Macaca mulatta: one gene and its partners. The protein of the gene in region 7 interacts with the protein of the main gene of each other region in a biochemical or structural test. Links are inferred from orthologs where the notes say so. Each region holds a gene or a part of one and is shown on either strand. Other genes may lie near its edges. The genes, in order: RB1, H1-1, ORC2, POLA1, CDC25C, RBL2 and CDK2.

Region 1 (3,500 bases), on a different chromosome or scaffold from region 7:
CTCTACTGATATGGAAGCACTGCTATAACCTCCATGGTTATGAAACTAAAGACTGAAGCTGGAACCCACTGGATAAACAGAACGAAGGCCAGTTACAGTGTTTTTAAAAATATAAATGTATATCACTTTGCAAATTATGTTGCAAATGTTAAAAGAAAGTTTTGCTTGCAGAAACAAAAGGAACATTTGTAAAGGATGCAAAACACAGTGAAAGAGGAACTTCTAGTTTCCTTATTAGTAAACAAATAAGGAAAACTGTGAATCCTCATTTATAACCAAGAAATGCATATTTTAAAGAGATACCATTTTCTGACTAATGAAATTAGCAGGATCTTGAAGAATCTGTCTCTCCTCTTACCAAGGATTAATGAGAATTAAAATAGATATGCTAATAAATGGCTGGTAAGATACTAAACCTGTTTCTGATATAAGTTTAGGGTATTTAAACCTTTGAAAATTTGAGATAAGCTATAAGCCCTTTCTCTAGGAAAAATATAGATGTGCATACACTCAAAATTGGAAGGCTATTTCCTATGAGTCCGTAGACTCCAAAATAAAAAATTCTGCTCTAAATAAAAATCGTTTAACCTTTCTACTGTTTTCTTTGTTTGATAAGACTTTCCAAAAAAAATACCTAGCTCAAGGGTTAATATTTCATACCTAAGTTACTTTTTTTTTCATTTTTAGGAAGTACATCTCAGAATCTTGATTCTGGAACAGATTTGTCTTTCCCATGGATTCTGAATGTGCTTAATTTGAAAGCCTTTGATTTTTACAAAGTGATTGAAAGTTTTATCAAAGCAGAAGGCAACTTGACAAGAGAAATGATAAAACACTTAGAACGATGTGAACATCGAATCATGGAATCCCTTGCATGGCTCTCAGTAAGTAACTAGCTAAATAATTGAAGAAATTCATTCATGTGCATATGGCTAACAAATTATCTGTTAGTGAGAGGTGTTTCTTAACATCTACCTCAAGAACAAATAGGCAATAATGAATAATGTAATTTCAGTCTGTAGCCCAAGAATCAAGTAGAATATTAGAATGGAGCTTTATTCGAGTGCCCTAAACCATCTAATACAGCATAGTGATTTATTTAAGAATAGCTTTTCTTAAAACATGGCACTTTAAAACAAAACAGAATTCTTTTTTTTTATTATTATTATATTTTAAGTTCTAGGGTAAGTTCTAAGTTCTAGGGTGCAGGTTTGTTACATATGTATACATGTGCCATGTTGGTGTGCTGCACCCATTAGCTCGTCATTTACATTAGGTATATCTCTTAATGCTATCCCTCCCCCCTCCCCCCACCCCACCACAGGCCCCAGTGTATGATGTTCCCCTTCCTGTGTCCAAGTGTTCTTATTGTTCAATTCCCACCTATGAGTGAGAACATGCAGTGTTTGGTTTTCTGTCCTTGCGATAGTTTGCTCAGAATAATGGTTTCCAGCTTCATCCATGTCCCTACAAAGGGCATGAACTCATCCTTTTTTATGGCCGCATAGAATTCCATGGTGTATATGTGCCACATTTTCTTAATCCAGTCTATCATTGATGGACATTTGGGTTGATTCCAAGTCTTTGCTATTGTGAATAGTGTGGCAATAAACATACATGTGCATGTATGTTTATAGCAGCACGATTTATAATCCTTTGGGTATATACCCAATGATGAGATGACTGGGCCAAATGGTATTTCTAGTTATAGATGTTTGAGGAATCGCCACACTGTCTTCCACAATGGTTGAACTAGTTTACAGTCCCACCAACAGTGTAAAAGTGTTCCTATTTCTCCACATCCTCTCCAGCACCTGTTGTTTCCTGACTTTTTAATGATCACCATTCTAACTGGTGTGAGATGGTATCTCACTGGTTTTGATTTGCATTTCTCTCATGGCTAGTGATGGTGAGCATTTTTTTCATGTGTCTGTTGGCTGCATAAATGTCTTCTTTTGAGAAGTGTCTGTTCATATCCTTCACCCACTTTTGGATGGGATTGTTTGATTTTTTTCTTGTAGATTTGTTTAAGTTCTTTGTAGATTCTAGTTATTAGCCCTTTGTCAGATGGGTAGATTGTAAAAATTTTCTCCCATTCTGTAGGTTGCCTGTTCACTCTGATGGTGGTTTCTTTTGCTGCGCAGAAGCTCTTTAGTTTAATTAAATCCCATTTGTCAATTTTGGCTTTTGTTGCCATTGCTTTTGGTGTTTTAGTTATGAAGTCCTTGCCCATGCCTATGTCCTGAATGGTATTGCCTAGGTTTTCTTCTAGGGTTTTTATGGTTTTAGGTCTAACATTTAAGTCTTTAATCCATCTTGAATTAATTTTCGTGTAAGGTGTAAGGAAGGGATCCAGTTTCAGCTTTCTACATATGGCTAGCCAGTTTTCCCAGCACCATTTATTAAATAGGGAATCCTTTCCCCATTTCTTGTTTCTGTCAGGTTTGTCAAAGATCAGATGGTTGTAGATGTGTGGTATTCTTTCTGAGGGCTCTGTTCTAAAACAGAACATAATTCTTTAAAGTATTTAGATAATTTATTTAAAATATAGTCGTCATTATGTTTGAAAATGTAAATGTCTGCTCTTAAATTGTGAGATTATGTTATTTAGATTATTAAAAAGTGCATTTTTTTCTTGTTGAATATAGTAGGATTCATTTTTCCCATTATTAGAGTATAAAAATCTATACTATTGTTCAATTATAGGTATTGGTGTATTGGTTCAATCATTATAGGGGCACAAATTATATTGTCTAGGATTCTCTTTATAGCATTATAACTATTGATAAGGCTTTTGTTTTAATAAAATTGGCAACTTGAGTTTATGCTCTTCAAATCTGCATAGTTGGATAATACTTTGTGAATCATCAGATTTGTAGATTAATGGTTTCTTTTGAAACTGTGTTGCATGCTAAGTATATATCTTTTAATTTGTATCAGTATATAGAAATGGTAATTAAAAATTAAGACTTTAGGTATGCTATAATCCTAATTTGCACATGTAACCTTAGTTTTAATTTCTTTATGTTTTGAATTTTTAATGACTAAGCAATAGTTTATTTCTTAGTGTTTTCTTGTGTTGCCATATAGACAGTGAATAGAGGAGAGAAGCATGGGAAATTGATAGAAGAATGTTATACTCCTATTATTGAATTTGGTAACTACTTATGGAATGAACTTACACTTGATAAGGAGTACTTAGGAGAAAACTTTCTGAATCTGGGGAATTAAGTGAAAGTAAAAATAAATAAATAGATAAGTAAATAAAATAAGCACATAGAGTACTTTTTAAAGGCTATGTGTCCTCTCCTCCCAGAAATTGATATTGAGATATTACCGTATCATCTGAAAGTGACTATTGTTATTTCTTTTAGAGAGTTAATTTTATTTCTATCAACACATATTTATTGAACATATGCCATATGCCTTGAATTGAGAGAGATATTGTGAGGCTACAAAAAAAATAAAGGCTTGGAAAATTGTGTAGGAAGTAATAAAAA
Region 2 (2,519 bases), on a different chromosome or scaffold from region 7:
GGCTTCTCAATAAAATAGACGTAGGAAACACTGGTAAAGAAGATGGGTACAATAGTTATCTGGGACTACTACAATTATTTGGTTGACACGTTGTTTGAAGAAAAAGGGAAAAAGCTCAGGTTACTTAGCACAGTTCGGACTTATTTAAAAACTACAACAGCACGAACGGAAATAGACCGCATTCCCTCACTCTCCGCTGTGTTAGGGGGTTATCCAGAATAGGATTGTAGAAGTGGATGTCGATTTAATAGTTTTTTTTGTTCTCCCGTTAGCTGAGTCTCTGATTGGCAATGTGAGATCGTTTTAGCTTATTGATAATTTGAAATGCTCTTAACAGCCACAAACAAGCTAAAGAGAGGTTACCATAAAATCTTATCCCCAGGGTGTGCTTACACTTACCGTTTGTTTTCACACTAAGGAGACTTAACTCCCCAGCAGAATGCCTGTCGGGGAACCAGTTTCTTGGACCCAGCATTTAACGCCTTTCGCAGGTTTGTGAGGCCCATAAATCTTTGTTGAATAAAACAATGAGTTCACCATGTCATGGTGCTCTCATTGCATGTGCTGACATGGAACACAGGTTGTAAACCTTAACACCCATTTGGGGCATGTTGTATGGATGAAAAGGGCATTGGAAATTCCTGAAGTGCATCCCACATTGGACTGTGGAAGTAAGTTACAAGTGCAGAAACGTTTCCACACTTGCAGTTTGAGTATTAATTGCAGCGTTAGTGAATTCTGGTGTTGTCTACGATTCATTCTTCTTTGACGTGAAAGGTATTCGCGAGACACATCGCTCTAAAACATTGCCAGAAAATGTAATCGAGTTGATGACTACTAGCCCTAACACGGCCTAAAACCCGCACTTTCCTCTTCCTCCCCAACTATTCAAACACTGTATTTTACATTTCTTGCAAATTAAAAACTAACATATCTGGCAACGGACCTCTAAAACTTTCTAATAAAACTCCCTGGATGCTTGTGGGGCTGCATTTGCAAACCGCTCCCCATCAACCTACTCCCTAAAACAGAGCTGCTTTTTGAGAGACAAGCGGCACCCTCTGATGTTACTAGGTGGCAGTCGGCCTACAATTTCCTTCACAATGAGGCAATCGGAGCGGCTTTTTCGGTGTGTTTGCTTGCGTTGAGGGGAGCGGGACCATAGGCCCTAGAGGCCCCCAGGTGCTCTCTGAGACTGGGGGAAACCCTCTGCAGAGCGCAGGGGGCGCTAGGGTGCGAGGGGCGGGCACTGACGGGCACCAATCACTGCGCAGTCCCACCCTATAAATAGGCTGAGTCGGGGCCTTTTTTTTCTCGCATCCTGCTTGGTCAGGTTTATACCAGTTTACTTGGTGTGCTGTATTAGTCACCATGTCCGAAACGGCGCCTCCCGCTCCCGCCGCTTCTGCTGCTCCTGAGAAACCTTCAGCTAGCAGGAAGGCAAAGAAACCTGCTAAGGTTGCGGTGGCCACTAAGAAAAAGCCTGCTGGCCCTTCCGTGTCAGAGCTGATCGTGCAGGCTGCTTCCTCCTCTAAGGAGCGTGGTGGTGTGTCGTTGGCTGCTCTTAAAAAGGCGCTGGCGGCCGCAGGCTACGATGTGGAGAAGAACAACAGCCGCATTAAGCTGGGTATTAAGAGCCTGGTAAGCAAGGGAACGTTGGTGCAGACGAAGGGCACCGGCGCCTCGGGTTCCTTCAAACTCAACAAGAAGGCATCCTCCGTGGAAACCAAGCCCGGCGCTTCAAGGGTGGCTGCAAAAACCAAGGCAACGGGTGCGTCTAAAAAGCCCAAAAAGGCCACGGGGGTTAGCAAAAAGAACGTCAAGACTCCAAAAAATGCTAAAAAGTCTGCGGCAACAAGGAAATCCTCTAAGAGTCCCAAAAAACCCAAAGCTGTAAAACCCAAGAAAGTAGCTAAAAGCCCTGCTAAAACTAAGGCTATAAAACCCAAGGCGGCCAAGGCTAAGGTGACGAAGCCAAAGACTGCCAAACCCAAGAAAGCGGCACCCAAGAAAAAGTAAATTCGGTTGGAAACTTTACTAACCCAACGGCTCTTTTAAGAGCCACCTACACACTTCGGGAAAAGAGCTGTAGTACACAGATGAAATTCCCCCAAGCAAATGCAATACGCCCTCATTTATATTAGAATCACTTGGAGAGTCAATAGGAACTTTAACATAGGTTGAGTAGTAAATTCTTGCCAGATGAGGCTATCAAAGATAGCAAGGTGAATTCAAATGCACCGAGTTAAAGTCGAATTTTAGATCACCTGTTTTGCTTTTTTTTTTTTTTTTTTTTAAGTAGCCCGAAGTCCCGCATCTCACGACCCCAAGCTAATTAGTCATAACTGTAACGAACCAAGGTTGAAGCCTAGTCCCAGGCTTGAGGCTTTTTTATTATGCAAGGTTAAAGTGCGGACATTGCGTTCTTGGGTCAATATTGCTAAAGTAGCCTTTTCCGAAATTGGGTGGTCCTAAGAAATGCTTCTGGGATAGTAAGCAAAATTCATGGCTTAATCACG
Region 3 (3,500 bases), on a different chromosome or scaffold from region 7:
CCCGGAATCAGTGTGAAATCAGTAAGTTTCAAAATGTTAAAGGGAAAAACATTATATCCTCTGCCAATTCATGCCTCCACATAAATGAGGATGGAGTATTAAAGAATTTTTGTTTTAGTCTTCACGGTAGTAGGATTGTATAGTGCTTAATACCATGTGTTTGGACTCAGAAGAATCTAGCTTTGAAACCATCTTTGAATGTCCTACGTTGTAACTGACATGTATTAAAACTTAGGAAAATATGTTAGTTTTGTTTACTACACTGAGTATCAGTGGTACTTCTAAAGAAGGGAATTATGGGGTCTTCAGTTTTGTTATAAACTATGAAAATGCTTTATTAGGCAAAAACTCGGGGCCGGGCGCGGTGGCTCAAGCCTGTAATCCCAGCACTTTGGGAGGCCGAGACGGGTGGATCACGAGGTCAGGAGATCAAGACCATCCTGGCTAACACGGTGAAACCCCATCTCTACTAAAAAATACAAAAAAAAAAAACTAGCCGGGCGAGGTGGCGGGCGCCTGTAGTCCCAGCTACTCGGGAGGCTGAGGCAGGAGAATGGCGTAAACCCGGGAGGCGGAGCTTGCAGTGAGCTGAGATCCGGCCACTGCACTCCAGCCTGGGCGACAGAGCCAGACTCCCTCTCAAAAAAAAAAAAAAAAAAAAAAAAAACAAACTACATGCTGTGAAAATGCTTTAAAATGCAACAGGATGTGAAGACTATAGTTTTACAATACATTTATCATAGATCATTTTTATTTCAAATGCTTAATCTCTCTTCCTCATTTGAACATGAAATCTTTTGGGTGCTGGATATTGAGTCATGTAGTATTCCTTTTTAAAAGTGTCTATAGTGTTTGTGTCCTGTTTCCTTTGATAGAACTGTAGTTTTCTAATGTTTCTCATGTTCTTGGGAGCTTTTTCATTTGTTTTTGCTGCCCTCTTATATTACCTATTACGTTGATATCTTTGCTATTCTTTTCTATTTTCTTTTAGCCACAACTTAGGCAAAAAACAATGAATTAGATATAATTCATCGAGTACCAGTAGAATTTTTAAAAGTGATTTTTTAAAACTTTTGGGAAATCCAAATTCATTGTTAATTTATAAAAAAAGGTTTGATTTTCTAGTTGTATATGACAATAAATTGTAATTAATGTGGCACCTCTTGCACATTCATGATATAGGTCCTGAATTCTATAACAGAAGAAGTCCTCGATCATATGGGTACTTTCCGCAGTATACTGGATCAGCTAGACTGGATAGTAAAGAGATTTAAAGAAGGTAACATGAAGTAGATGCTCTGTAGTTTTAGGGTAAAGTTAAGCATATACTTCTACTTATTCATGTATTTATATACATACAGTACAGTTATACATACATATTATATGTATTATATACATACATATACATACAGTATTATTATTATTTTATATATATATATTTTTTGAGACAGTCTCTCTGTTGCCCAGGCTGGAGTGTAGTGGCACCATCATGGCCCACTGCAGCCTTGACCTTCTGGGCTCAAGCAGTTCTCCCACCTCAGCCTCCCAGGTAGCTGAGATCACAGGCGTGTGCCACTGTGCCCAGCTAATTTTGTATTATTTGTGGAGATGAGGTCTCGCTATGTTGCCCTGGATAGTCTGGAACTTCTGGGCTCAAGCAGTCCTCCTGCCTTGGCCTCCCAAAGGGCTGAGATTATAGGTGTGAGCCACCACACCTGGCCCAAAAAGATTATTTTAATAATGGCACTTATCTTGGTGCTCTAAAATAATTTGACCTTTTTCTATGAACCTTTTCTGTGAACTTAACAGGGAAGAAAAATGTTAGTCCCACTTTCTTAAGTTTGTATATCCAAAAGCCTTTTTCTGTTTATAAAACACTCCAGAAGTGCAGTGGCACAATTTTGGCTCACTGCAACCTCTGCCTCCCGGGTTTAAGCAATTCTCCTGCCTCAGCCTCCCAAGTAGCTGGGATTACAGGCATGCACCACCAAGCCCAGCTAATTTATTTCAGAATAATTTTCAGGTTTTGTTTTGCTTGTGTAAAGTGCCTCCACTTGAGCGTTACATCTTTGTCTGATATTTTTATATTGTTTAATGTTTTTATAAAACATTATTTCTTGGCTGGACACAGTGGCTGACGCCTGTAATCCCAGCACTTTGGGAGGCCAAGCTGGGTGGGTCACCTGAGGTCAGGAGTTCGAGACCAGCCTGGCCAATATGGTGAAACCCCGTCTCTACAAAAATACAAAAAAAATTAGCCAGGCATGGTAGCACGTGCCTGTAGTCCCAGCTACTTGGGAGGCTGAGGCAGGAGAAGTGCTTGAGCCTGGGAGGCAGAGGTTGCAGTGAGCCAAGATCATACCACTGCACTCCAGCCTGGGCAATAGAGTGAGACTCTATCTAAAAATAAATAAATAAATAAAACATTATTTCTTTATTCTGTGTATATATCATTACATTGGGATAATTTTATATACTAAGATCTCTGATTCTTTTGGTGTGAATGTTTTGGTTATGTGAGTATGTCAGAAAATTGGAAATAGCATTATATAGTCTCTGATAGTTAATTGCCATTTAATAATGACTAAATTAAGAGAAGTACATGAGAATGCCTAACTGCTTTGATGGATAATTTTATTGATAATGTCAATAATCCTAGCTCTGTTTCCATAGTACTTTTATCTTGTCAATATTCTGGCATGTTCTTTAGTTTTGTCTTCATTTTGTTTCCAACCTGAAAAGCTTTCTGTCCCAAATTTCCTTTCACACTTCTACACCCATTTTACCCACAGTTCTTTATAGAAATGGACAGTATACTTTTTTGTTTTTGGGTTTTTTTTAACACAGTCTTTCTCTCTCACCTAGGCTGGGATCCAGTGGCACAAACACATTTCACTACATCCTAAACCTCCTGGGCCCAAGTGATCCTCCCAACTCAGCCTCCCCATTAGCTGGGACTACAGGCACACACCATCTGCCTGGCTATTGTTAAAATTTTTTGTAGAGATGGGAGTCTCACTGTGTTGCCCAGGCTGGTCTCAAACTCCTAGGCCTCAAGGGATCCGCCTGTCTGGGCCTTCCAAAGTGCTGGGATTAACAGACATGAGCCCAGCCAGACAATATACATTTTTATACCAACTGTACACATTTGAAAACAGGTAGAGTTGATTCTCATTATTCACAAATTCTATAATAACAAATTTTCCTGCTTGCTAACATTTATTATAATCCCAAAATCAATACTCTTGGCACTTTTGCAAAGTGAAACATGCACAGAGTGGCAAAAAGTTTGCATTGCCCAATGTACACATTCTAAGCAGAGGTCAAACAATGCAATGCTTTGCCGTCTTGTTTCAACTCTCATACTATAAACAAGCATCCTTTTCGCAGTCCGTTCAGTGCTATGTTTTTCACATTTTTCTGCTTTTGTGTCGGTGATTTGGCTGTTTAAAATGGCCCCCAAGCATAGTGTTAGAATGCTATCTAGTGTTCCCAAGCAC
Region 4 (3,906 bases), on a different chromosome or scaffold from region 7:
CTGCAGCACCTGAGGTGATGGTCTTGTTACTGGTAGGCTGACTCTCAAAACCAAAGCAGGGAAAGGAATCAGGGTTTTACTGGCCGCATTAACTGGCCTCCACCATTTAACACCTGTATTTTCCCTTGAGTTATAAAGTGGTGGGTGCAGTATTGACACAAACAGGGTAACAGTTTACTGTGAGGCCTAACGTGGGTGGCCCAGGTGCCTAAAGAGGGAAGAGAAAAACCAGGAAGAAGGGGTGACTCCTCCTCCCCGCCCCCCCCCCACCACCAAGCCCCTGCCCCTGATGCGGCCTGTGACAGCTAGTCCAGTTCTGTTTCCTAGAAGACCTTCCATATGTTATTGATTAAATTCTCATTGGGGAAGCAAGTGGGAGCTTTTATCTGCATCTCTAACTGGTGTGGAATGGTGCCTTGGCCGTATTGACTGGCTATGGGATATGCTGGCGGTCACAGTTGTCTTTTACGAGGAAGAGCACCGAGTGACGCTGGTTGTCATTCTAACTCTGCTGTGTGGCAGCGTAAATAGTCCCCTTTCTAACCAACCTGGTGGGAAAAGTCAATATCCCATCAGCAGAGGAGGTAAACACATCAGGAGCTATGTCCTCTCTTTTCCTCCCCTGCTCTGTATTACCGCAGCTCTTTAAATGTGCTCTCCCCAGTCATCAGATGCATTTGTGTCATTCACATGCACAGGGTTGCTGGCCTGCAGCTCTGGCCTGCCGGGAGGCACTGGTTGGGGCCATTGTTGTGTATTCCCAGACTCGGATCATTAGAACTTTCAAATTGTCTTTCTGTTGCAGCCCCACTCTCTTTTTCCACCCCTTTTGGGCATTTTAATTCTCTATAAAACCTGTGGTTCTTTAAAGGACAATTTATGTAATTCAGAAAAGGTTGTGGAGAGCAAATGTGAATGTATAGCCAAGAAACAAAAATCTGGAGTCTGAGTTTTCGTTTTCCGGGTGTTTTATGGACTTGCGTGTTGCTGTTGTTGGAGGTTTGCTTTCTGTGAGTGGTGCGCTCTCCCCTCCATGTTTCCTGCCTGACCGGTTCCTGTCGGGAGGTGCTGGGCAGCCTTGCTGCTCCCAGGCCCTTTGGCACAGGCCAGCATCTTATGGGGGCGGAGTCCTCACCTCAGGCCTGCACATTTCTATGTGGGAGTAGTGATGCAGTGGCAGGGGGAGTAGGCAGAAGTGAGCCTCAGGTGCAGGCTGGGGGTTCTGGCTACCTGGGTTTGCATGCCTACAACCCTGATTACCTGCTGTGTAACCTTGGGTAAGTGACTTAACCTCCCAGTTTCCTAAGCCATCAAATGGGGATGGGGGGCGCGGTGGGCGGGAAAGCAGCCTCTCCAAACACCTTACCAGGTTCCTGAACAAACATAGTGTCAATCCCCCATGTGATCACCGTCTTCACCCAAAAGATCAGACCTGAGCATCACAGCCCCACTGCTCCTTTAAAAGAACAACGTGTAGAAGTAGCAGGCTCTGGGAAGGAAAAGGAGAGGGATCTTTTCTCTTACTGGTAGCACCCTGCTCTGAAGGGAAAGGCCAGGGATGAATGTGTTGAAGGAGCAAGAGTGCCGAATATCCTGAGTTCACGCAGTGTGGACAAAGAAGAGCAAAGAAATCTTGGCCATGGACAGACAGGTGCCCTCGGGGCCACTCACCTCTTGCCTCTTTCAGCAAAAAAGTTTTGTTTAGCAGAGGGAGGTGAACTGGAGGGACTAGAAGAAGCTGTCTAGGCCCAGCTGATCTGGGGAGTTGGGGCTGGAAGGCACCAGAGGCCATAGCTCCCTTTGAGACTAGGTATTTCCTGCTACTTCCAGACTTCGCAAGCAGTTGCATGCATGTGCTCGCAGCACCCATGAAAGTGGTGTCTGCATGTAGAGCTCACTTTGTCTGCTGCAAATGAGCGTGCACCTGCAGTTCACATCAGTAGAGGGTGGCCCCGTCCCCCGGTGTGCTGAGTCAGCTAGGTGCTGAGAAGCGGACAGGCAGGAGAAAGGAAGAGAAGCTTTCACAGAGGAATGGTGGGCAGGGTCTGCATCTGACCGGCCCCAGGGGTAGACCAGAGATAAGATGGTGGAGATACAAATGGAATCAGCATCCTCTTCTCTGGTGGAATACTGAATGTTTTTTAAAGAAACTACCTGAAACTTCTAATCTCTCTCTCTCTCTCTCTTTCTCTCTCTCTCTTTTTTAGATAAATTGAAGAAGCAATTTTTTACCCCCAGAGTTCTGCAGGACTACAGAAAACTCAAGAACACAGCAGAGCAATTCTTGTCCCGAAGTGGCTACTCCGAAGTGAACCTAAGCAAACTCTTCGCTGGTTGTGCTGTGAAATCCTAAGAGAATCCCAGGAGTAACCAAGGAGGGGGTAGTTGAAAAATCCCAGCTTCCTCTCTGCCTCCGCTCTGGCCCTTACTGCCCTTCCTGCCCTTCCTGCATCTGTTTCTCCCTTGGAACTGTGTCTCATGTTTGTGTGAATGTAGACAAGGAAAGGGGGCTGCAAAAATGTTGACTCTAATGTTCCTAAGCATCATAGAAGTTCCCATCTTCATATTAAGATGTACTGCTTTAAAACACAACTCCAGGGCCCTTCCCCAAGCTCCCCTCCCCAAGGTCCTGAAGACCCAGTTTCTGAGGGAGGGAAATTGCTACTTGGTTTGAGAGTAGCTGGAATGTAAGTGACCCCAGGCTTTGCCTCAGGGCCTTTAGCCTATGTACCCCCCCCCCCCCCAATAGAGAGAGGTTCTCAGAGCCTGACTGAAGAGCTGACATTTTGCTTTTTCACACACCAATTAAACCCGATCTAAATCCAAATGCTTCTCCAGCCATCCAGGAGTGGGTGTCCTTTTCAGTCTTGTCTTTTATATAGGTAGCTGAGGGGGGAGATTTAGAAGCTTTGCACTCACTAAATAGATTAAACAGAGCAGGCTTGTTTATTGAATTGCTCCAAAGTCCAACAGACACACACTGAGCAGGTGTTTTACATTCACATTCCCTTTTTGCCCCTTAAATAGAAAGTGCAGGTAAAGGTTTATACAACAAGAAAGCACATTAAAAATAATTTCATACTCTAACAGTCCATTAACATGTGTAGGGGTTGGGGTGAGGATCACTGTGTTGTATTCAGAAAAATTGGGGGGAGGGATGCTTAATTGGCCCTGGTGCTTGCTATTTTTTTCTCATTTCTTCAGAATGGGACCCTCTTTGGCAGCAGCAAAATATATTTCAGTATGGCAGTCTTTCCTCTCTTACATTATTGGTAAGATTATACTAACAAAATGTTTCCCCTTGTACAACTATGCTGTGTTTTTTAAAAACATTGACCTGTGTGTTTTTATAAAAGAAAACGTATGTTGTGCCTTCTACTTAAGAATAAAGTTTTCTAAAGGGAAAGCAGTTGTGGTGAATCCTTACCAGGTGCAAAGAGTTGATTAGAGAGGCAGCAAGGAGTAACATGTGACTAGAGCCAGTTGCTGTGGCACACACCTGTAGTCCCAGCTACTCCAGAGGTGGAGGCAGGAGGATGGCTTGAGCCCAGGAGTTCAAAGCAGCCTGGGCAACATAGTGAGACCCCCACCTCTAAATACATACATATGTGTGTGTGTGTGTGTGTATATATATATATATATAGATAGATGAAAGACTAGAGGCCATCCCCTTTTCAAACCTCAGCCCAGTTTCTTCATGGCCACCTCTATCAGAACCCAGCTCAGGTGTGCACAGCATGATATTTGGTTGAATGTTCTGAGAAGCATTCAGAATTTCTGTGACTTTAGGTCATTTAACAGATGAAGTATGGTTTCTTATGTGCTTTGCTGACTTAGCCAAGCCAAGAGACCAGCAGCGTCTCTTTTTGAAGAGCAAGGCCTAGGACTCCTGAGAAAAAACCGCCC
Region 5 (3,500 bases), on a different chromosome or scaffold from region 7:
AAAAATAAAACTGCCAATATATCTAGGTTTCCATTAAACACTCACATTTTCTTTATTTGCAGATAAGCTACACATTGCATCTCTCTTTCTATGGCCACGGTCCAAACCATTCGGAGTGCTACAGAGAAGCTGTGCCTAAAAAAGAGTTTGCTGAGAACGTCCCGCATCAAGTCACAGGTGCAATGGAAACCCTCTGTCTCCCACCTGAAAAGCAAACCCAAACCCAAAAAAGAGAGGCTACTCACTGGGCTACATTTCATTAGGTGCTGGTGATGATTCCTGCAGATTAAAACAAACTGCCTGTCAGGTTAGCCCCAAATACTGTTTGATTATTCTTCAGTGGATTTGGTGCATCCCAACATTTTTAAAATTTCATTCTAGGAGCCCTATTCCCAGTTGATATGTCTCTTCCAACAACAATACATAGGGTATTCTCTGTGGTAAATATGAAGACTCAAGTGATATCTTGGGGATAAGACCCTCATTTTGCCTGTATAACCATATAAATAAACATGTACCAAAGATGAACGAGTTTTATACAATTTACTAATTTTCCAGCACAGTGTATTGGGGCTAATTTTTTTTTTTTTTTTTTTTTTTTGAGACAGTCTGGTTCTGTCACCCAGGCTGGAGTGCAGTGGCAGGATCTCAGCTCACTGCAAGCGCCGCCTCCCAGGTTCACGCCATTCTCCTGCCTCAGCCTCCTGAGTAGCTGGGACTACAGGCGCCCGCCACCACGCCCAGCTAATTTTTTGTATTTTTAGTAGAGACGGGGTTTCACCATGTTAGCCAGGATGGTCTCAATCTCCTGACCTTGTGATCCGCCCGCCTCAGCCTCCCAAAGTGCTGGGATTACAGGCGTGAGCCACCGTGCCGGCCAGGGCTAATTTTTTAAAAAAATTTAATTTCTGGCCGGGCGGGGTGGCTCACACCTGTAATCCCAGCACTTTGGGAGGCTGAGGCGGACGGATCACCTGAGGTTGGGAGTTCGCGACCAGCCTGACCAACACAGAGAAACCCGTCTCTCTACTGAAAATACAAAATTAGCTGGGCGTGGTGGCGCATACCTGTAATCTCAGCTACTCGGGAGCCTGAGGCAGGAGAATCTCTTGAATCCGGGAGGGGGAGGTTGTGGTGAACCGAGATCGCGCCACTGCACTCAAGCCTGGGCAACAAGAGCAAAACTCCGTCTGGAAGAAAAAAAAAAAAAAGCCCGGCGTGGGGGCTCATGCTTGTAATCCCAGCACTTTGGGAGGCCGAGGCGGGCAGATCACGAGGTCAAGAGATCGAGACAATCCTGACCAACATGGTGAAACCCCGTCTCTATTAAAAATACAAAAATTGGCCGGGCGCGGTGGCTCAAGCCTGTAATCCCAGCACTTTGGGAGGCCGAGACAGGCGGATCACGAGGTCAGGAGATCGAGACCATCCTGGCTGACACGGTGAAACCCCGTCTCTACTAAAAAATACAAAAAAACTAGCCGGGCGAGGTGGCGGGCGCCTGTAGTCCCAGCTACTCGGGAGGCTGAGGCAGGAGAATGGCATGAACCCGGGAGGCGGAGCTTGCATGAGCCAAGATCACGCCACTGCACTCCAGCCTGGGCGGCAGAGCGAGACTCTGTCTCAAAAAAAAATAAAAATAAATAAAAAAATAAAATAAAAATACAAAAATTAGCTGGGCATCGTGGCGTGTGCTTGTAGTCCCAGCTACTCGGGAGGCTGAAGTGAGAGAATCGCTTGAACCTGGGCGGCGGAGGTTGCAGTGAGCTGAGATCAGGCCACTGCACTCCATTCTGGCAACAGAGTGAGACTCCATCTCCAAAAACAAAACAAACAAAACAAACAAAAAACATATCTATATATAAATTTCTATCCTCCCTCTGTGGATTTCATTATCTATCTGGGTTAGAGCATTTAAAGCAATTCAGGCGGGGCCAGGTGACTCCCATCTGTAATCCCAGCACTTTGGGAGGCCGAGGGGGTTGCTGATCACTTGAGGTCAGGAGTTCAAGAGCAGCCTGGCCAACATGGTGAAGCCTCATCTCTACTAAAAATACAAACATTAGCCAGGCATGGTGGTGGATGCCTGTAATCCCAGCTACTCAGGAAGCTGAGGCAGGAGAATCGCTTAAATCGCTTGAACCCAGGGAGGCAGAGGTTGCAGTGAGTCAAGATGGCGCCACTGCACTCAATCCTTGGCAACAGAGCCAGACTCCATCTCAAAAATAAAAATAAATACATAAATAAAATGCTTGGTATGTGTTAGATACACAGTTTATTTAATCCTTACAATAGCTACTTTATGACAAGTGCTATTATTGTCTCCATGTTACAAATAAAAAAAATTAAGGTCTAAAGCAGAGTCACAACTGGTGAATGAAGTAGTAAGCCAGGAATCCAGACACTGATTCCAGAGCCTACACTCTGTACTTTCTTTTTTCTTTTCAACACGCAGTCTCGCTCTGTCGCCCAGGCTGGAGGGCAGTGGTGCGGTCTCTGCTCACTGCAACCTCCGCCTCCCGGGCTCAAGCAATTCTCCTACCTCAACCTCCCAAGTAGCTGCGATTACAGGCATGTGCCACCCCACCCGGCTAATTTTTGTATTTTTAATAGAGACGGGGTTTCTGCATGATGGGCAGGCTGGTCTTGAACTCCTGACCTCATCTGATCCGCCTGCCTTGGCCTACCAAAGTGCTGGGATTACTACAGATGTAAGCCACCGCGCCTGGCCACTCTGTACTTTGAATTACTAAGATACAGCACTTTTCACATTCAAATAAAAGCCTATATAAGTGTAGTATACCATTTTCCTTCATTTCCTTATAGATACTTCTGATTATGACAGTTAAAATGAATAGCCTTCATTTTCACAACACTATTTAGATCTGGAAACCTTAGAAACTGTTCAAGGTAAGGAACTAGGCCTCAAAGCCCACTTATACCCAATATGAAAGGTTTTGCACTCTGCAGAGTCCGCACAGGATAAAATCTCTATGACCAGTGCTAAAAAGCTTTTGCATGGGGTTCATTTAGCAACAGAACTTACATCCCAGCTAAATGCACTTCCTGAAGTCCTGAAGAATCCAGGTGACCTGCAATCAAATATAAAAAATCAGTAAAAGGAGTTATTTTTGTCCATGCATCTTGTTTTTCCTTCAGATTTTCTTCATTACCAGTAAGCCATATTAATTTCAAGGACTGAGCTTTTGAATACAAAGCCTCTCGATTGATACCCATTTCATAGTACAAGGTACAATTTCACAGAAACTTAAGGTTTTATGTGTCACTAAAAGAAGTAGTGCTGGGAAACACTGTACTTTGCTACCTACGGAGTTTTTTTTTTTTTTTTTTATGAGTAGAAAAGAAAGATTATCACTCAGAAAATCTGAAATTAGAATTCTGGAAGGTTAACTTATGAAACATTCCTTTTGGAATATTTTATATAAAACATATAAGAATTAAATGACAATGTATTTCTTTTTCTTTGAGACGCAGTCTCG
Region 6 (4,063 bases), on a different chromosome or scaffold from region 7:
TTCTCTACTCTATCAAGATCTCTTAGAAAGTATAAAGTTAAGTCAGTCATAGCATTATCCTGTGCTTCAATAAAGGGTTTAAAAGATAATCTATAATGTTCTATTTTGGCTCTAGAAAATTCACAACTACTTGGATGGCAGAGAGAAAACAACAACAACAAAAAAAGAAAGTCTACAACTGCATCTTTCCTAAAAAGAAGAAAAGAATTAGTCTTGTGAGAATTTTACCGTGCTTAGATGATAAAACGGAGCGGGAAGCTCTTTTAAACAATTTATGCAAAGAGTAGACTCTGCCTAGTTTATCTTTGGTCCTAAAAAATATTTGTTGAAAAATTCCATAATACTAAAAAATAGTTATCCTCAAAATTAACATCTCGTGGCCATATCTTATAGGGTCAAATAGATCTGGTTTCAAATTCTGGCTCTGCCATACAGTAGCTGTAACACAGTGGGAAAATTACTAAACAGTCTCAGAGGCTGCATTTTTTTGGCTGAGGACTGTAAGAATGAGTTATAGGTTAAAAATGCACAGAAAATACAATGAATCAAATTAAATTTCCATAACCAGTATTCTGTATTAAATATCATAAGAGCTTTATTTCCCCTTACACTCCCATGAGAATGACATCCCACATTATCTCACAGCGTAGCTCACTATAAGCCCCACAAAGGCAGGTATTTTTAGGCTTTGTTTGATGCTCTATATCCAGCACTGAGAACAGTGTGTAGCACTGAGAACAGGTGCTCAAGAAATATTTGATGAATATTTTACTGAGTAAATCATTTACTGAATAAACTGGGCTAAGAAGCTGAAACTAAAGTCTCAGTAATCAAAAGAATTGAGTAATCAAACATGTGTTTTCAAAAATAATTTACTAACCAGCTCTTACGTGGTATTTGCTCATGTATCACTGGACTTCATACAACTTAACCACTATGAGTTGACATACCTCAACTAAATGGTGATAACGCTTGTTCTATCTAATTTACAGGATCATCCTGAGGGTAAAATAAAAGCTTGTTTAGAAGCCTTTAAGGCCCTTTACCAAAGAAAAAAAAAAAGCAAAAAAAAAAAAAGTCAACCAGTCCTTCTCTTTGCCAGACTACAGAAAGGCACTGAGAGACGGACAGGAACATAGTTTACTCAGCCAGATCATGTAAATATACAAAGAGCTTAGGAAACTTGAAAGCACCGTCCATATGGGTGCTTTATGTGCCAGAAACTACATTGTTGCCTTATTTAATCTTCAGAACAGCTCTGTGAGGTAAACACACATATCTCCAGTTTAGAGATCACAAAACTCAACTTTCCAGCGGTTAAGTAAATTGTTCAGTCACCCAGGTCTGTCGGGTTCTAAAGCCACCATACACTATCTTTCTTCTGCAGATATAACAATTCAAAGAGGGAAATCGTAATTGAATCAAAATTCTATTAATGCAAATACAAATTTAAAATAACCTCACTCATCAGTACACATAGCCAAAAACATCATATTTAAATAATACCTTGGTTAGGCTTTGCATCCTGGGCCTATTTGCCCCCCTCTTTATCCAAAGTAATTATAAAACTACTTGAGAAATTAAATGGCCTCAGGTTTAAATGCCACACACACACAGTAGAAGAGCTGATAAACAATCCGTACTTCCGTGTCACTTCCCATTGGCCCATGAAAGGGAGGTGCCTACAGAACTAACAGTCACTGGCTAGAATGGCCATTTTTCTCATCCGCAAGCCCAGTCCGAAGGCTGCGACCTAACACGCCCGGATCCCGACAACAGGAGTCCTGTGCAATGCCCGGGGTGACCAAAAAGCCCTCGAGGTAGCCACAATCCTGAGCCTAGTGACAAATGGGAGCATGTATCTATATACGGGTCGGCGGAGGGCTCATTTCATGTGGCCTGGGGGAAAATGAGTCTTAATTTGTTTACACAGACGTAAACACAGACCAAAACGCATCAGCTCGTTGACTCTAACGCCAGCAACGTCTGGGCAAAGGCAATTTGGTTAACAGGGGGAAGCGAACAGACGGAGACGCCTGGAGACCCAGGTGCCACAGCCCGGTTAATCGCGGTGCAAATAAGGGCAAGTCCCCTCCCCTTCTCCGTGCGGTCTTGATAACGACACTAGTTCATTCTACTAACAAGGCGGGCGGGGGGTCAGATGGGCCACACACACCCATCTTCCTCATCGGGACCCCAGCGCGATCTCAGCTTCCCTATGTTACTTTAGGGCAAAACGCGTTCCCCATTCGGAAGCCGCGGGGAAGCGCGGCGAGAGCAGGTTCGCCCTCGGAGCGGCTAAGTGCCTCGGAATAGCGCAGAGGGGGTCCCCACGCCTCTCCCGGCTGGGATCCCGCAACCCGCCCGAGGGTCTCTCGTGGCGCGCGACGCGGCTCGGAAGGCACCGGTTCACGCCGACTAGGCCGGAAGCGCCCCTCCGCCCGCGAGCGCACCTCCAGAGTGTAGCTCTCGCTCATGCTGCGGTAGCTGTCCCAGGCCTCGGCCCGCGCCGCCTCGTCCATGTTGAGGCGGCTGCACAGCTCGTCGAACCGCTGCTGGATCTGAGGGGTGGGCGACTCGTTAGGCGGCGCGGCGTCCTCCGCCTCGCCGTCGTCCTCCTCCTCCTCATCCGAGGCTGCCGCCGCCGGAGGAGGAGGCGGGGGCGGCGGCGACTGGTCACCTCCCGACGGCATAGCGCACCCCTGGGCAGCCGGACCTCAGGTGAGGTGAGGGCCCGGGCCCGCAGCCATTCAAACCGCGAAGCGCCCGCCCGTCCGCCGCCCGCTCCGCGCCTGCGCCTGCGCCGCTGCCAACGACGCTGACCTCCTGCAGGCACCCGTAGTCTTGAGCACGGCCTGCTGGGAAATGTAGTCCAGGCCGACGGTTCAAGGGGGCCAAAAATCATGTTTAAAAAAATTAGCTCGCCTAGTTTCACCAGGGGTGAAATAAAAGCACCTTCCCCGCATTTTAAGCACATACCTCCCCATCGTGAGAACATTCAACAGGGTTGTACTGACGAGAAAATGTCCAAAAGACACTGACGTGTGAAGGTTTCGCATCCAGGCTGTTCCCAGAAGTAAAACTTCCTCATCGCCTGGATATCCTTATCTAAAAAACCAGGATAATAGCAAGGGCCTGTCTGTGTACCTTCACGAAACTGCCTTTGCAAAAATCCTAACAGTGAGAAAGTTACCACTGGGAAAGGGATCTGACCTAAATGACTCCATGCTTCTCACCTCCGAGCTGCACTTGTTCATTCCCAGGCGAAGACCCAACTAACTACAGGAGGAATTTAATTTGTAGTTTCACTTTGAAGCAAAGATTTTTACAGCGCTTTCCCAAAACAAACCCCCTTCTTGCCTGAGGATCAGTCTGCCTTTGTAGAACTAACAAATTAGCCACAAGATTAGAAATTATGATTTAGGAGTCTTGCAGCCAGAGGCTACAAGATTCCTAACCTCCCCAGTTGTTCTCAGGGATAACATCACTATTGTAAAACCTAAGATTGGTGCTGGAGATACTTTTCAGACCCCGCATTCCGATGCATGAGCTGGCGCCACTCAGACCATAATCTGGCTCAACCAGTTCTACAGTCCCACTCAGAAACAGAAGACAGCAAGAGCCCACTTCAACCCCCTAAGATTTCACCTCCCACCTGACAAATTAGCATTCGCCACTCCCTGGCCCCCTACCCGCCAAGTCATTCTTTAAAAACCCCAGTCTCCGAATTTTCTGGTAGCTGACTCTGAAGGGCAGACAGTCCTTTTTTTTTTTTTTTTTTTTTTTTTTTTTTTTTTAATTTGAGACAGAGTCTGGCTCTGTCGCCCAGGCTGGAGTGCAGTGGCACGATCTTGGCTCACGGCAACCTCCGCCTCCCGGGTTCAAGCGATTCTTCTGCCTCAGCCTCCTGAATATCTGGGATTACAGGTGCGTGCTACCGCGCCCGGCTAATTTTTATATTTTCAGTAGAGGCAGGGTTTCACTATGTTGACCAGGCTGGTCTCGAACTCCTGACCTCAAGTGATCCGCCCGCCTCGGCCTCCCAGAGTGCTGGGATTACAGG
Region 7 (2,518 bases):
GTGCCTCTTTTATTTCAGGCCTTCATTTCAAGGCTTGTAGACCTTATTGTGTGGTGCCAGCAATGTAGTGAAGACAATTGTGGTCACTTTATCCACACCCTTCATTTAAATTGCAGATTTAGGCAGAGTGCAGTGGCTCACACCTATAGTCCCAGCACTGTGGGAAGCTGAGGTATAGGTGGATCACCTGAGGTCAGGAGTTCGAGACCAGCCTGGCCAAAATGGTGAAACCCCATCTGTACTAAAAATACAAAAATTAGCCAGGTGTGGTGGCACACACCTGTAATCCCAGCTACTTGGGAGGCCAAGGCAGGAGAATCGCTTGAACCCAGGAGATGGAGGTTGCAGTGAGCCAAGATCGCACCACTGCACTCCAGCCTGGGCGACAGAACGAGATTCCATCTCAAAAAAAAAAAAAAAAGATTTAGATCATGTCCCCCTTCAACCTCTGGCTTTTCAGATTGAAGGATCCTTGAGGCCTGGCTTTATGTAGAAGCTCCTATCTCCTTTAATACAACAGTGCAGTGCAGTAGGCTGAGGCTTCAAATCAGCAATATGTTTTATTGTCTTTTATCTGGGTTGTAACCAACAGCTTAAAGACCATTAGCCTGTACATATGTAATGTGCATTTATCCCCCAGTGCATTACCTTACAATTGTCCGTATTCCTCTCTCAATTCATCCAAAAATATTTGTTAAGCACCTAGTGGGTAGCCAGCACCATGCTAGGTACTGTGGGGAACACAGAAGAAATGGAAGACAGAGCCTCTGCCCGCTGTGCTCCTATCTAGAAGTGGCTGCATCACAAGGTTGGGGGATGACTGCAGTGTCTACCCCATACCCCGTGAGTGGCTTGGGATCCCTTTGCTACATGTCAGTGGCATCGCAGACATTCAGCCCCTCCCAGACCCACCCAGCCTTGGGGATCTGCAAAGCCATGGTTGGGGGAAGGAAGGAGGGGGCGAGGAGACAGATGAAGGGACTTCATTGTCTCAGGTTCTGTGTGACTGACCCCATGAAAGGCCCTGGGGAGGGAGTCATGGGGCCCTGCTGACCTTCTACTGTCTGTGGGAACTCCTTTGTATAGAGGAGAGTTTTGACTGACTTCAACATAGGTCTTGGTATTTTCTCTTTCCCCATTTTCAGGTGACTCGCCGGGCCCTATTCCCTGGAGATTCTGAGATTGACCAGCTCTTCCGGATCTTTCGGACTCTGGGGACCCCAGATGAGGTGGTGTGGCCAGGAGTTACTTCTATGCCTGATTACAAGCCAAGTTTCCCCAAGTGGGCCCGGCAAGATTTTAGTAAAGTTGTACCTCCCCTGGATGAAGATGGACGGAGCTTGTTATCGGTGAGAGTGGGCACCTGTTTTCCCTCATTCATTTCTCCCAGGGAAGGGCTTTTCCAGGATGAAGGAAGGATGAGACCCTGAAATCTGGGCCTCAGTATTTTGTTTCCCTGGTTCCTGCTCTCCCTGTTGGCACACTGGTTCAGCTATGGGAGGATGGAAGTAAGAATTCCGCCTTGGGTAGAAGGAGTTCTGGTTTCCTGATTTCTGGGAACATTTGCTGCCCATTTAGTCCACTATCACATGATTGAAGTCAACATACATCTCTCCCTCTAGCAAATGCTGCACTACGATCCTAACAAGCGGATTTCGGCCAAGGCAGCCCTGGCTCACCCTTTCTTCCAGGATGTGACCAAGCCAGTACCCCATCTTCGACTCTGATAGCCTTCTCGAAGCCCCCAGCCCTAATCTCACCCTCTGCTCCAGTGTGGGCTTGACCTGGCTTGGCCTTGGGCTATTTGGACTCAGGTGGGCCCTCTGATCTTGCCTTAAACACTCACCTTCTAGTCTTGGCCAGCCAACTCTGGGAATACAGGGGTGAAAGGGAGGAACCAGTGAAAATGAAAGGAAGTTTCAGTATTAGATGCACTTAAGTTAGCCTCCACCACCCTTTCTCCCTTCTCTTAGTTACTGCTGAAGAGGGTTGCTATTAAAAAAAAAAAAAAAAAAAAAGCCTTCCTACATGTTAGATTTGCCGTACCAATCTCTGAATGCCCCATAATTATTATTTCCAGTGTTTGAGATGACCAGGATCCCAAGCCTCCTGCTGCCGCAATGTTTGTAAAGGCCAAATGATAGCAGGGGGCTAAGTTGGAACTTTTGAAAACCAAGTCAAACAAAACCACTGGGAGGAGTCTATTTTAAAGAATTCGGTTGAAAAAATAGATCCAATCAGTTTATACCCTAGTTAGTGTTCTGCCTCACCTAATAGGCTGGGAGACTCAAGACTCAGCCTGGGTGGGGCTGCAGAAAAATGATTGGCCCCAGTCCCCTTGTTTGTCCCTTCTACAGGCATGAGGAATTTGGGAGGCCCTGGGACAGGGATTGTGCTTCATTCCAATCTATTGCTTCACCATGGCCTTATGAGGCAGGTGAGAGATGTTTGAATTTTTCTCTTCCTTTTAGTATTCTTAGTTCTTCAGTTGCCAGGGATCCCTGATCCCGTTTTCCTC

The links.
Region 1: of the proteins of CDK2 (region 7) and RB1, one has a biochemical effect on the other in vitro, tested with the Homo sapiens proteins (35 studies listed by BioGRID and IntAct). The link is inferred for Macaca mulatta from reciprocal best matches to the Homo sapiens genes CDK2 and RB1.
Region 2: of the proteins of CDK2 (region 7) and H1-1, one has a biochemical effect on the other in vitro, tested with the Homo sapiens proteins (48 studies listed by BioGRID). The link is inferred for Macaca mulatta from reciprocal best matches to the Homo sapiens genes CDK2 and H1-1.
Region 3: the proteins of CDK2 (region 7) and ORC2 form a complex in vitro, tested with the Homo sapiens proteins (2 studies listed by BioGRID and IntAct, with this or other methods). The link is inferred for Macaca mulatta from reciprocal best matches to the Homo sapiens genes CDK2 and ORC2.
Region 4: of the proteins of CDK2 (region 7) and POLA1, one has a biochemical effect on the other in vitro, tested with the Homo sapiens proteins (2 studies listed by BioGRID). The link is inferred for Macaca mulatta from reciprocal best matches to the Homo sapiens genes CDK2 and POLA1.
Region 5: of the proteins of CDK2 (region 7) and CDC25C, one has a biochemical effect on the other in vitro, tested with the Homo sapiens proteins (3 studies listed by BioGRID). The link is inferred for Macaca mulatta from reciprocal best matches to the Homo sapiens genes CDK2 and CDC25C.
Region 6: the proteins of CDK2 (region 7) and RBL2 form a complex in vitro, tested with the Homo sapiens proteins (3 studies listed by BioGRID, with this or other methods). The link is inferred for Macaca mulatta from reciprocal best matches to the Homo sapiens genes CDK2 and RBL2.

Annotation. Positions count from the first base shown.
Region 1 is NC_133422.1:27,577,172-27,580,671, forward strand, and holds part of RB1 (retinoblastoma-associated protein), read left to right. Parts: intron 1-687; coding exon 688-884; intron 885-3,500. UniProt on the Homo sapiens protein: Tumor suppressor that is a key regulator of the G1/S transition of the cell cycle. The hypophosphorylated form binds transcription regulators of the E2F family, preventing transcription of E2F-responsive genes.
Region 2 is NC_133409.1:157,091,563-157,094,081, forward strand, and holds H1-1 (histone H1.1), read left to right. Parts: upstream 1-1,371; coding exon 1,372-2,019; downstream 2,020-2,519. UniProt on the Homo sapiens protein: Histone H1 protein binds to linker DNA between nucleosomes forming the macromolecular structure known as the chromatin fiber. Histones H1 are necessary for the condensation of nucleosome chains into higher-order structured fibers.
Region 3 is NC_133417.1:106,027,408-106,030,907, reverse strand, and holds part of ORC2 (origin recognition complex subunit 2), read left to right. Parts: coding exon 1-21; intron 22-1,182; coding exon 1,183-1,279; intron 1,280-3,500. UniProt on the Homo sapiens protein: Component of the origin recognition complex (ORC) that binds origins of replication. DNA-binding is ATP-dependent. The specific DNA sequences that define origins of replication have not been identified yet.
Region 4 is NC_133426.1:24,814,122-24,818,027, forward strand, and holds the end of POLA1 (DNA polymerase alpha catalytic subunit), read left to right. Parts: intron 1-2,207; coding exon 2,208-2,353; 3' UTR 2,354-3,406; downstream 3,407-3,906. UniProt on the Homo sapiens protein: Catalytic subunit of the DNA polymerase alpha complex (also known as the alpha DNA polymerase-primase complex) which plays an essential role in the initiation of DNA synthesis.
Region 5 is NC_133411.1:147,191,334-147,194,833, forward strand, and holds part of CDC25C (M-phase inducer phosphatase 3), read right to left. Parts: intron 3,093-3,500; coding exon 3,047-3,092; intron 280-3,046; coding exon 246-279; intron 136-245; coding exon 46-135; intron 1-45. UniProt on the Homo sapiens protein: Functions as a dosage-dependent inducer in mitotic control. Tyrosine protein phosphatase required for progression of the cell cycle. When phosphorylated, highly effective in activating G2 cells into prophase.
Region 6 is NC_133425.1:48,916,168-48,920,230, reverse strand, and holds the start of RBL2 (retinoblastoma-like protein 2), read right to left. Parts: upstream 2,801-4,063; 5' UTR 2,694-2,800; coding exon 2,454-2,693; intron 2,163-2,453; exon of another isoform or gene 1,934-2,162; intron 1,821-1,933; exon of another isoform or gene 1,730-1,820; intron 1,620-1,729; exon of another isoform or gene 1,525-1,619; coding exon of another isoform or gene 1,507-1,524; intron 1-1,506. UniProt on the Homo sapiens protein: Key regulator of entry into cell division. Directly involved in heterochromatin formation by maintaining overall chromatin structure and, in particular, that of constitutive heterochromatin by stabilizing histone methylation.
Region 7 is NC_133416.1:63,115,116-63,117,633, forward strand, and holds the end of CDK2 (cyclin-dependent kinase 2), read left to right. Parts: intron 1-699; coding exon 700-843; intron 844-1,145; coding exon 1,146-1,349; intron 1,350-1,622; coding exon 1,623-1,727; 3' UTR 1,728-2,018; downstream 2,019-2,518. UniProt on the Homo sapiens protein: Serine/threonine-protein kinase involved in the control of the cell cycle; essential for meiosis, but dispensable for mitosis. Phosphorylates CABLES1, CTNNB1, CDK2AP2, ERCC6, NBN, USP37, p53/TP53, NPM1, CDK7, RB1, BRCA2, MYC, NPAT, EZH2.